Macaca mulatta: one gene and its partners. The protein of the gene in region 3 interacts with the protein of the main gene of each other region in a pairwise test. Links are inferred from orthologs where the notes say so. Each region holds a gene or a part of one and is shown on either strand. Other genes may lie near its edges.

Region 1 (3,750 bases), on a different chromosome or scaffold from region 3:
AGCCAAGTCTGGGGGTGGAAAGGACCTGGACCACACAGAGCAGGACTCCAGAGCCTCCTCCAAATCACAGGAATCAAGCTGTGAGAGAAAATCAGATAAGAGCTTCAGCATAGAAATCAGCCAAATCATATTCACATCCTTCCTTCTGCCCAAGGATCCTCCTGAGATAAAGAAAATAGCAAGATAGTGCTATAGTTGAGAGAGACTTAGTGTCAGGAGACAAGTCTCATTTTCACCGTAAAACTCTAAATTGAAAGCATTGAATTAGATAATCCTCAAACTCCACGGATCGTTTGGGATTTAACCTCAGAAAACATGACGGAAACAACCTGAATAATAAATTCTTAGTGCACATAGTGCTTTGCAGAGCACTTTCAATCTCATTATGTCCATTTTACCGATAAAGAAACTGAGACTCAGAAAGTCACTTGCCCAGGACCCCCACCCAGAGACACTAGAATAGAATCAAAGCCACAGGTGATCCTATGGAAATCCTGGCCCTGAGACCTAGAGAACAGTTCTCTTGAAGGACAAGGGAGTCAGACAGAGGCTCTGCTTGGAATAGGGGTCAAGAGTCCCCCTGCCCATATGCCTGGGCCTCCAGAGGGTTGAGGCTGAGATGGAGGGAGCTCAGTGTGCCCTCGGCCCCTGCTTACCTTTCACAGGGGAAACGCAGGATTTCCCACACATGCCCATGCAGCACTTCAAGTCACGCTCGCACTGGCCATCCATCTCACAGTAATTGGGGGGTTTAAGCATCATACATTGGCCATAAGCTGGTGGACAACGCCCAGGCTTCCTCCTCGCTGGGTGAGAGTGAGGCTACCAGTCAGAGGCCTTGTACTTTACACAACCCCTCCTATCTCCACTTTTTAGAGTGAGCCCCTGCTGCAACCTGAGCAGGTCGGATCATCCCCCCCGATCTCTATCACCACCACTTTCTCCGTAAGTCACCCCCCAAACATAGCACCTGGCTGTCCTAGAACATCAGGCCCCCGTTGATGCAGGGGGCCAGTCGTCCAGTGCTGACTAGGTGGGAGGCTTCCAACTACCTGACTATCTAAATGCCCGCTGCTTCACCACCTGCTGGCTACCTTCCTCCTTAGGGCATGTGACTCATTGACTGATTGACAAGGAGGCCTGGCAGGACCCATCACCCAGTGCCATCCCCCTAATGCTGTGTCCTCAGGCTCACTCCTCTCTACCCAGTTCCCCGATCTGCTTACTTGGGCTTGGGGTGTCAACAGGATCCAGGCATTTGATGCCACAAATGTCAGGACAACATCTCTTCTTCCCTAGACACTGCCAGTCACTCTGGCACTGAGGTTTCTCATATCTAAGGCACTGGGCAGATTTCTTAGGAGGACAGACTCCGGCTTTGAAGGCTTTTGAAGAGAAAGTCAAGAGGTCAGGAGTAGGCTGGGCACTGAGAAGTCATCATGCCTGCTGAACAAAGCACCACTTTTGAGGGGGAGAGACCCTTACCTCAGGAGCTATCCACAAAGCCCAAAGGGTCATGCCTGCCTGATCTCCGGGTGGATTGATGGGCTTGATTAAATTGGACAAATGGACAGGGGATGTTTCAGACCCAAGAAAAGGGCAGCAGGCTTCTAGTCAAGACCTCCCACCCCAGAGCAAAACAGGGCTACACAAAGGCAGAGAGGAAGGCTGGGAGTGATGGAGATGGAGACAGATAAACAAAGATAAATAGAACCAGTGTGAGAGAAGTTGAGAGCTAAAGCCCAAGGCAGAAACACAGAGACAAAATAGCAGAAGCGAAGACACAAAGAAGAAGCAGAGTCAGAAACTAATGATTTGAGAGTCGCAGACAGGTGAAGAAGGCAGAGGATAAGAGAGAGAGAGACAGAGAGAGAGAGAGAGTGGGATCTGGGCCGACAGCATGGCTGCATAGAAAAAGCATTTCCAGAAGCTCAGAAACCCTCACAGAAACCTTGGAGCTCAGCCAGACATGTATTCCACTCTCAGGGAGGTCTCCTGAAACTAAGCTGAGAGATCAGAGCCTACAGAAGGGGACACACCCACATCACCAGGAGACCGCACCTCTGACCCTGCAGCCCAGATTAGACCAGAATGACTCCCAACTTACACTTTCCAGAGCCTTCCACAGCCCAAAGTGCCAGGGTTCCCAGGGCAAGAAGCATCATGAAGGGGAAGAGGCCACTGGACTTCATGGTGAAGGCAGGAGTGACTCTGATGGCCAATGCCAAACCTCACTATTTATTCTTTCACCAGTGGGTGTGGCCCAACCAGAATTCTTTTGGCCTCTCCCAGCTACTATTGCATAAGCAGGAAGCTTAGCCAGAGACCAGAAATCCTGGCACCAAGGAGACGGTTTATCTTTCCTATGCCAGGTGAGGCTTTGAGGCCAATACAGTAATTACCAGAAAAGAAAGGGAAGAGGTTGGCCTGAGAGGTTGGCTGATTAAAGAGGCCATCTCAGTGTCCATCTGAGCCCTAAACATCACGAGACCCCAGGCCATTAGCCTTACAGGTGGAGAGGGGAAGAAGTGGTCAATTGCAAAGGTGCTACCTGGACCTGGAACTGAAACCAGATGCAGACCCCCAGCTGAGACTTCGTGCATTACATCCTATTCTCACATTACGAATTCTGATTTTCACATTATTAGACTCTAAGGCATTGTGAAACTCTGCTGAATGCTCAATGCAGTTTCTTTCTCAAAAGTTCAGCTCATTCAACCAACCGATACTTAGTTCCCTGAAATATTTACACCGTTTATCCCCAGTGCCTGTCACAGGAAAAGCATTCACTCAACAAATGAAAGCTGAAGAAGAGCTCTGCTCTCAGCAAATCTCTTCAGAGCTCAGTTTTCTCAGCTGTGAAATGAAATGATACTAACAAGTCAGCCCTTCTCAGAGGGTTATGAAATTAAGGGCATGAAGGGACTCTGAAAAGAATAAATGAATTGTATCCCTTCCCACTAAAGAGAACTGAAATGAATCTGAGATAAAGGGGGAAAGCAGCTCATCAGTCACTGTAATCAACATTTAGCTATGAGATAATTTGAGATCTTAGAGGACTGCTTCCTAAAATTCCCCAAAAACCCTTACAGATCTCACATGACAGCAAAAAATTAAACTCGTTCTATATGCTACCCAATCTGCATAGATTGCTTCTAATTATAAAGAGAGTCATCATTATCTCTAAAATTCAGCCCATAGCTGAGTGTAGGGTCACATACATACAGTCTCAGCTGCTCATGAGGCTGAGGTGTGTGGATTCCTTGAGACTAGGAGTTTGAGACCAGCCCTGGCCAGATATTGAGACCCTATCTCTACAAAAAAATTTTAAAAATTAGCCAGGCATGATGATGTATGCCTGCAGTCCCAGCTACTTGGGAGGCTGAGCCAGGAGTATGGCTTTAGCCCAGGAGTTTGAGGCTGCAGTGAACCATGATTATGCCACTGCATTCCAGCTTAGGGAACAGAGCTATACTCTGTCTTAAAAAAATAAAATAAAATAAAATAAAATTCAACCAAAGCTCATCTGGCTGCAAACTCTAAGCTCTTGACTCACTATCTTCATGCTTAGAATTCTCCCATTCATTCCTAAAGTGAATGTTTGTGGAACTTTTCACAGACATGAAAGACTCACTCATTATCAAGTAGTGACAGCCCCACATGAAGTATTTAAGTATTCCACAACCAGACAGTCAACTGGCAGCAGATCTGTTTATATGAAAGTCACTCCATGGTTTAAATTTTGGTGGA
Region 2 (3,650 bases), on a different chromosome or scaffold from region 3:
TGTTTGAATATTTTCAGTAAAAAATAAAAGCGATCAGTCAAGAGGTCTGCTAACATAGCATGAATACAGTGAAACCTCACAGTAACAGGCCCAGAGGTAATGTAAATTTGGAAATAATGTGATTAGAAATATATATATATATGAAATATATATGTGTGTGTGTGTGTATATATATGATCTTATACATATACAAGATCATATATATATATAGTCTTGCTCTGTTGCCCAAGCTGGAGTGCAGTGGCCCAATCATGGCTCACAGCAGACCAACCTTCCAGGATTAAGCCTCTGCCTCCCAAGTAGCTGAGACTATAGGCATGTGTCACCATACCCAGCTAATTTATTTTCATTTTTAATAGAGATGAGGTCTCATCTGTTGCCCAGGCTGCTCTCAAACTCCTGAGCTCAAGAGATCTTCCCACCTCAAGTCTCCCAAAGTGATAGAATTAGAGGCATGAACCACCGCACCCGGCCTAAACATTTTGTTTTAATATCGGGGTCATTCTTGTCATTAACTTTGCAGTAATGAGGTCTCACATTTTATATAACCAATGTTCTCTCTTTTGTATAGGTATTTATAATAAATAAAGTATCGAATGAAAGAGAAAAACCAATGCAAATGACATACAGGCAGAAGAAAGGAAAAGGGTATGTGCACAAACCATTATTGTTAATTCCTTTGAAGACTCTCATGGTCCAGTCTATCCAAAAATTTTATTATGATAATCCTGTAAGTACTACCCCAATAAATATGCCCTCATATTTGCTGGCTAATTTTACTTAGGTTATTTTTTGTATCTGATAAGTGGAAACCAAGTGAGAGATTATTTTATGCTAACAGTAAAATTAATTAAATGCTACAGATATTCCAAATTGAGAAAATGGATCTGCTGTCATGGTTTCAGCATACTATATTCAACATTCTTGATAAGAAAACTATCTTTGAGAATGTAGACTTAAATACTTGCATCAGAAAAGGTGAGACATTGTGGTATGAGAATTTCACTTCATATTTTTAGTTTGAAACTAACAAACACAGTCTAGTTTGGCATACTATGGAAATAATAGGTCATTTGGCCTAAATGAAGACTCTGTGTGCCTGATACCTACTGCTGCTACTACTGGGGATGGTGGGAGGTTTTGTAGAGTTAGGGTACCAGTTGGTGACACCACACATGGAGTCTGGAAATGGAAAATACATGAAATACCCTTCAGAAAACCTCTGAGACTTGTCTCAAAATAATTACTCCTGTTCCACCAAGGCTCTGAAAAACTGGCTTCATCTAGAGCGCGGAGAAACAAACAACAGGAATAACTCTTCTACCACATGCCAGTGTTTCTTTAGAGTAGGGGAGGGCTTGCCAACACTACTTGGCCAGCACTCTAAGATAGTAGTTTAGACACGACCCTGAATTCAAAGAGAAAAATGACTATTCATTGTACACCCTGCCCTCCTCACTATGGAGGCTGCCAATTAGACTGTGAACAGGAATGAAGTGGAGGTGGGGTTACTGGGGTTTCTCCAGCCCAGGCAGATGGCAAGCCTGTTCTGATTCAGATCACTTCCATGGGGCTGTGCCAAAAACATGCCCATATTCTCTATGCTTGTCTATGCTGCCTCTCGCTTCACGCCACAACCAGTGAAGCACTTCCTCAAAACTTCTAGAGTTCTAAGGGGGTGCTAGAAAACCACTAGTTTAGATTAACCCTAAACCAATGCAGGGGTTCCTTGCATTGGGTCCCTGAAAGATGCTTGCCCACAATTTTCTTACACACTTACAGGGCTACACTATGTCTCACGGGTGCTTATCCTGTCTTTGGGAAGATCTGACTACTAGAAAGTATTTCCCAATACTAAACTCACATCTACTTCTTTCCTACCTTCATCTTTTGGTTCAAGTTCTTCCTCTTGAAGTTACATGGCATAAGTCTGTGCTATCCCCTTTTATCTGACTAATCAAATACTATTCATCTGCCAGTATTCATCTTAAGTCTTCTTCTGTGTTACACCCAAAACAATCCCTCCCAGAGTGATTTCTGTGTCCTCTGGGTTCTTCAACTACACTTAATGCACCACTCCTCGGCACTTATGCTTTACCATCTTAGTTATTTTTGGCATTCTTTATGCCTTTCTAACAAGAACATAATCTTTTGATGGCTGGATGGTGTCAGTCTTTTATGAATGTCTATCTCTATACCCCTTCATCATGTTGCTGCTGAGTAGATAGTGTGTGCACGGGTCCTCCATGAACTGGCCCTAACCACAACAAGTTTACTTATTTTCTATCACATTTCCTCACAAAAATCCTCCACTCTAATCTATCCAGCTACCAAATTATACCCTGTGTCTTCCTCATTTGCTAATACTTTCTTGTTTCCTATCCCAACCTCTCCCCATCTAGAGCAGAGAGTATTAGCCTCAGGCATATGAACTCTAAACACCGTATACAAAATGTACATTTTTGTACGTGGGAGAGAATGTTTCACAGCTTTCATACAACTCTCAAAGGTCCCAAGACTCCATAAAAAATTAAAATCCACTATTATAAATTTTTTCCCATCTTTGCTTAACCAAATCTTCCCTATTCTTAAAAGCCCAGCTCATGTCCCTGGATCCAGGGAACCTTCCATATGGGGGAGATTTCCCAAGCTCTGAATATATATGTATGAATATATATGTATATATATCTCCATATATATTGATATATAAGGAGATAGATATATCTAAATTGATATATATCTCTAAATTGATACACATACGTCGATTTTTCTACCATTAATCTCTGTGGTTTATTATGTACCTTGTAGAAATTTTAAAATTAGTATCTTCATTGTGACTTAAATCTTTTGTATTTAATGTTTCATGACTGTAAACTTTACAGCATCTTTTTGTTATATGTACTGCCTTCCACAGAGCAGGTACTTAACAAATACTACTGTGGATGGCCGGGTGTAGTAGCTCACGCCTGTAATCCTAGCACTTTAGGAGGCCAAGGCAGGTGGATCACGAGGTCAGGAGATAGAGACCATCCTGGCTAACATGGTGAAACCCCGTCTCTACTAAAAAGATACAAAAAAAAATTAGCTGGGCGTGGTGGCAGGCGCCTGTAGTCCCAGCTACTCGGGAGGCTGAGGCAGGAGAATGGCATGAACCTGGGAGGAGGAGCTTGCAGTAAGCCGAGATCGTGCACTGCACCTCCAGCCTGGGCAGCAGAGCGAGACTCCGTCTCAAAAAAAAAAAAAAAAAAAAAAAAAAAATCCTACTGTGGACACGAATGAAGACGGTGAATCACCTTCATCTCAGTGTGTGTAGCAACTCAGTTTTAAAGGTGCATATCACAGTTGCGACAGTGTCATTAGACCTGGGCAAAATGCCACAGTTAGCTGCCACCTTACCTCTGCTTTACGAATATTTTCTCTAGCTTCATCTATTTTCTGTTCCAGCTCTGCTCGGCTTTGTTCTGATACAGCAGGTCCATGACACTCCAGATCATCTAGAACCTATTAAAAAAAATGGGACAATAATGATGACTGTTTTTTACTTTTTATCTTCCTTAAGTGATTAGAGTATTTACATAATTCAAAAGGCTTTAGTGACTAGTAGCCACAATTTTTTTCATTTATTTATTTTTTGAACATTTTGAAATAAT
Region 3 (3,750 bases):
AAATTTTCTCAAACTTTTTTGAAAATATGGTCCCTATAACAGTGCAACTAATATTTCACACAGCAATATAAAGTTTATGAGTTTTTGGATCCAATTACATGTTTCTCACTAGATAGAAAAGTTGTCCTTTTGTACTACACAGTTTATTACTGGAATAATAATGGAAAATGATTTTAGAGAATTCAATTTTCTCTTGTACTTCAAATAAAACAAAATCAGAAAGCTGTGACAATAGAATAGCTAAATTAAGAACATGAAAAACTCATATTAAAAACTCTGAGTACATATGGACAGGAAGAAGGGACCAACAGACAACTGGGCCTACTTGAGAGTGGAGGGTAGGAGGAGGGTGAGGATCAAAAACCACCCATCAGGTACTATGCTTATAACCTGGGTGACAAAATAATCTGTATACCAAAACCCTGTGACATGCAATTTATCTATATAACACACCTGCACATGTACCCCCAAACTTAAAGTGAAAGCTTAAAAAAAACCTGATATATGACTTAATCTGCGTACACTAAAAGGAACGAATAGAGCTGTTTCTCCTCCAATGTCCTCTAATATTCTCCAAACAATTAAATTTCCACGTGTATGAAAGAAAAGCCATCCATCTCGCTTCACCATTATTAGAAGCATTCTCACATTCCACATCAACAATCAAAGAGGTAAGAAAAATTTATCAAACAGATTACATTAAATACGTATGTTAAATGCTACATATGATAAGCCATTTAAGACAGTCTTGTCATCCACTGATTCATATAACTTACTGCAACAGTTGCATGATTGAAAACAATTTTCATAAACGACAGATAACTCCTAAAATATACCTGCAGTATCTTCTGGCTTCTTGGTATTAGCCCTGTAAAAAAAGTTACATCAAAATTTTAGCATAATACTACACAAAATGCCATGTTTGTTGGGAAAAGAAATGTCTTATGTGAAATGTTCTGCACAGAATAGAACAGTGATGACATGGTCCAAAGGTGACTTTTCCTAAAAGACCCTATCCCACAGGCAAAAGTGACTTAAACACTTTACCCCGTGTGCTCGTCTTTTTCAGCAAAAGGTTCTCTTTCCCCATGCTCATCAGTTACATCTTCCTCCCTTGTTTCTGTAAAAGGGTTTCTTTCCTCACATTCGTCACTGACTGGATCCTTTCCTGCATTAAAATTTAAAAGACAAACCTTTTTTAGAGGAAGACACTGTTGTGGACTTTTTTTGTGGAGAAATGTACTTGTTGTAGACTTTTTTTTTTTTTTTTTTTTTGGCTATCTGCCAATTAAGGCTTTAAAGCAGAGCTGTACATGGAATCACCGGCTTCTGACCATTTTATCAAGGCACTTTTGGAAGCCCTTCGGGTTCAAGTCCCAGTAAACAACATACTACACGTCAGACCCCTTGGATGTCATGACTGCACTCATGGAGAAGAGCTGCTCTGGGAGCATCTGTAACCCCGCTATGAGGGGAGCCTTTCACGGGAAGCCTAAGGCCCTTGAGCCTGCTTTGAAAACCTGGGGCATCTTAGCACGTGCACGATGGACTCCAAAGCCACGAAGGGGCCCGGGTCCTTGGGCTACCCCTGTGCCCCCAGCGCAGAAAGCAGACAGACCGTCCTCTTGGGCGTGCACTTTCTTCCGGGTCACCTTGGGCTGTATTTACCTGCACGCTCCTTCCCCTGGGCCGCCATAAATTGAGCCTCCAACTGGGCCTTGGCAGCCCTCCTGCCCACAGGATCCGTGGCTGGCTGTCCTGGGAAGCTACAGGTGATCCCTGAACCTGATGAGGGCAAAGGCACACTAAGGAAGCAAAGGAACCCTGGCATCGGAAAGGAAAGCCATTGGGATCACAGGTTCAAGAAGGGTGGGGCTGGCACGCCCTGGGTCTCCTGTGGGAGCAGGAGGGGACCGAAAAGATGCCAGTGTCCCCTCCTGTCCTGGCCCGTCCAGCCCGTCCAGCCCGTCCCCGGGGCTGGCTGCAGAGCTCACAGCTGCCCCTCACACCTGAACTCCACGGCGTCTGCGGGATCCTCGCCGCACCTTTGGGACAGAACTCAGCCCTACCTCTGGGTCCCCCAGCGACCCCGTGTGGCTGGGAGGGCCACCGGGTGACACAGGATCTCCCCAGCCACCTCCAGAGGAATGTCAGGGGCTGCACTGTCACTCACCCGCCTGGATGCACAGGGGACCCCTGATGACCCCAAGTGTCCTGTCCTGACGGGAGGCCGGGCAGGAGGGCCCCACTCAGACTGTCCCCAACAACACCCTCGCCCCACCCCCACTTCCCCCCACCTTCCGCACCTCCCCCCAACACATGCACAAGCCCTCCTGGGCCCTAGGGATCACCCAGGCGGCTCCAGCTCCCTCCCTGCCCTGGCCCACCCCAGCCCACCCTCAGGGCCTCGCCCTGACCCAGGCCCCAGGCGACCACGCCAGGGGCATTTCCTCACAGGTCAGCGGGCGGCCCAGCGCTTCACACCCTGGTTCCCAGAGGGCCTCGTGCCTGCGTTTCCGCCTCCCCACCGCGAGCGCTTCACCTGAGGGACCCCTGATGTGGCGCCCTCAAAGAACCTGCAGACAACAGCACCACTAGGATCTCTTAGAAAACGGGTCCTCTCAGGAGGCTGAGGCAGGATGATTGCTTGACCCCGGGAGGCGGAAGTTGCAGTGAGCCCAGATCGCGCGGCTGCACTGCAGCCTGGGCGGCAAGAGCCAGACTGTCTCAAAAAACAAAAAACAAAAAACAAAAAACAAAAAAGAAAACAAGTACTCAGTTCTCGTGAGAGCTGCCGACAGCACTTCCTACGCTCCTCGCAGATTGGTCGACTCAGTGCACATGCGTGTGACAGGCCGTGTGGGGCCACGCCCCCTGCTGGCACGCCCTCCCCCTTCCCCTAAGTGACAGCAAGTGGTTGCTGTGGACTGAGGTGGGGTTGGCCCTTTGGGGCCTCTGTTCCCACATTCTTTCAGCTTCTGCTCCTGGGGAGGGACACAGGACTTGGTATGGAGGCCAAGTGGACAGGGCCTAGAACCTCGCCCTGGGGCTCTTTCCAGCCACCCCTGCCCCTTTGGCTAGAATGGCCATCATCCTATGGGTTGGGCCCAGGCTCCCTCCCATGCCCTGTGTGCTTCCAACATGCCCAGCTGCATCCTTTTCAATCAATGGATTGTGCTTTTATCGTTTTTGTTTGTTTTTGAGACTGTGTCTCACTCTATCGCCTAGGCTGGAGTGCAGCAGGGTGATCTCAGCTCACTGCAACCTCGGCTTCCCGGGTTCAAGTGATTCTCCTGCCTCAGCCTCCCAAGGAGCTGGAATTACAGGAGCCCAACACCAAGCCCTGCTAATTTTTTTTTTTTTTTTTTTTAGTAGAGACGAGGTTTCACCATGTTGTCCAGGCTGGTGTCGGACTCCTGACCTCAGTTGATCTGCACGCCTTGGCCTCCCAAAGTGCTAGGATTACAGGCATGAGCCACCGTGCCCTGCCCATAACCATTTTTGTTTCCTCACTACTTTTCTTTCTCATCCTCATGCCCCAGACTTGCCCACAAACCCTCATGCTCCAGACTTATGCAGACATATGCCACAACCTTCACCCACAAATTAATGCCTTAATACTTATCGTTAACTCAGCTTTTTCCCACCTCCAGTCGCCTATAATAGGGGGAGAGTTGTTTTGGAGTTAGGAGTAAATAAATATTGCCTAAAGTTTGTAAATCAAGATATAGAGTTTCATTATATTATTGA

What was found.
Region 1: the proteins of FAM9B (region 3) and SLPI interact in binary tests that used the Homo sapiens proteins (3 or more experiments, as listed by UniProt). The two-hybrid records come from large-scale screens. The link is inferred for Macaca mulatta from reciprocal best matches to the Homo sapiens genes FAM9B and SLPI.
Region 2: the proteins of FAM9B (region 3) and FCHSD2 interact in binary tests that used the Homo sapiens proteins (3 or more experiments, as listed by UniProt). The two-hybrid records come from large-scale screens. The link is inferred for Macaca mulatta from reciprocal best matches to the Homo sapiens genes FAM9B and FCHSD2.

The regions. Positions count from the first base shown.
Region 1 is NC_133415.1:98,092,743-98,096,492, forward strand, and holds the start of SLPI (antileukoproteinase precursor), read right to left. Parts: upstream 2,215-3,750; 5' UTR 2,193-2,214; coding exon 2,108-2,192; intron 1,386-2,107; coding exon 1,227-1,385; intron 807-1,226; coding exon 657-806; intron 79-656; coding exon 74-78; 3' UTR 1-73.
Region 2 is NC_133419.1:73,226,685-73,230,334, forward strand, and holds part of FCHSD2 (F-BAR and double SH3 domains protein 2), read right to left. Parts: intron 3,502-3,650; coding exon 3,397-3,501; intron 1-3,396. UniProt on the Homo sapiens protein: Adapter protein that plays a role in endocytosis via clathrin-coated pits. Contributes to the internalization of cell surface receptors, such as integrin ITGB1 and transferrin receptor.
Region 3 is NC_133426.1:8,568,760-8,572,509, forward strand, and holds the start of FAM9B (protein FAM9B), read right to left. Parts: upstream 2,810-3,750; 5' UTR 2,543-2,809; intron 1,786-2,542; 5' UTR 1,697-1,785; coding exon 1,669-1,696; intron 1,169-1,668; coding exon 1,048-1,168; intron 869-1,047; coding exon 837-868; intron 1-836. UniProt on the Homo sapiens protein: May play a role in meiosis.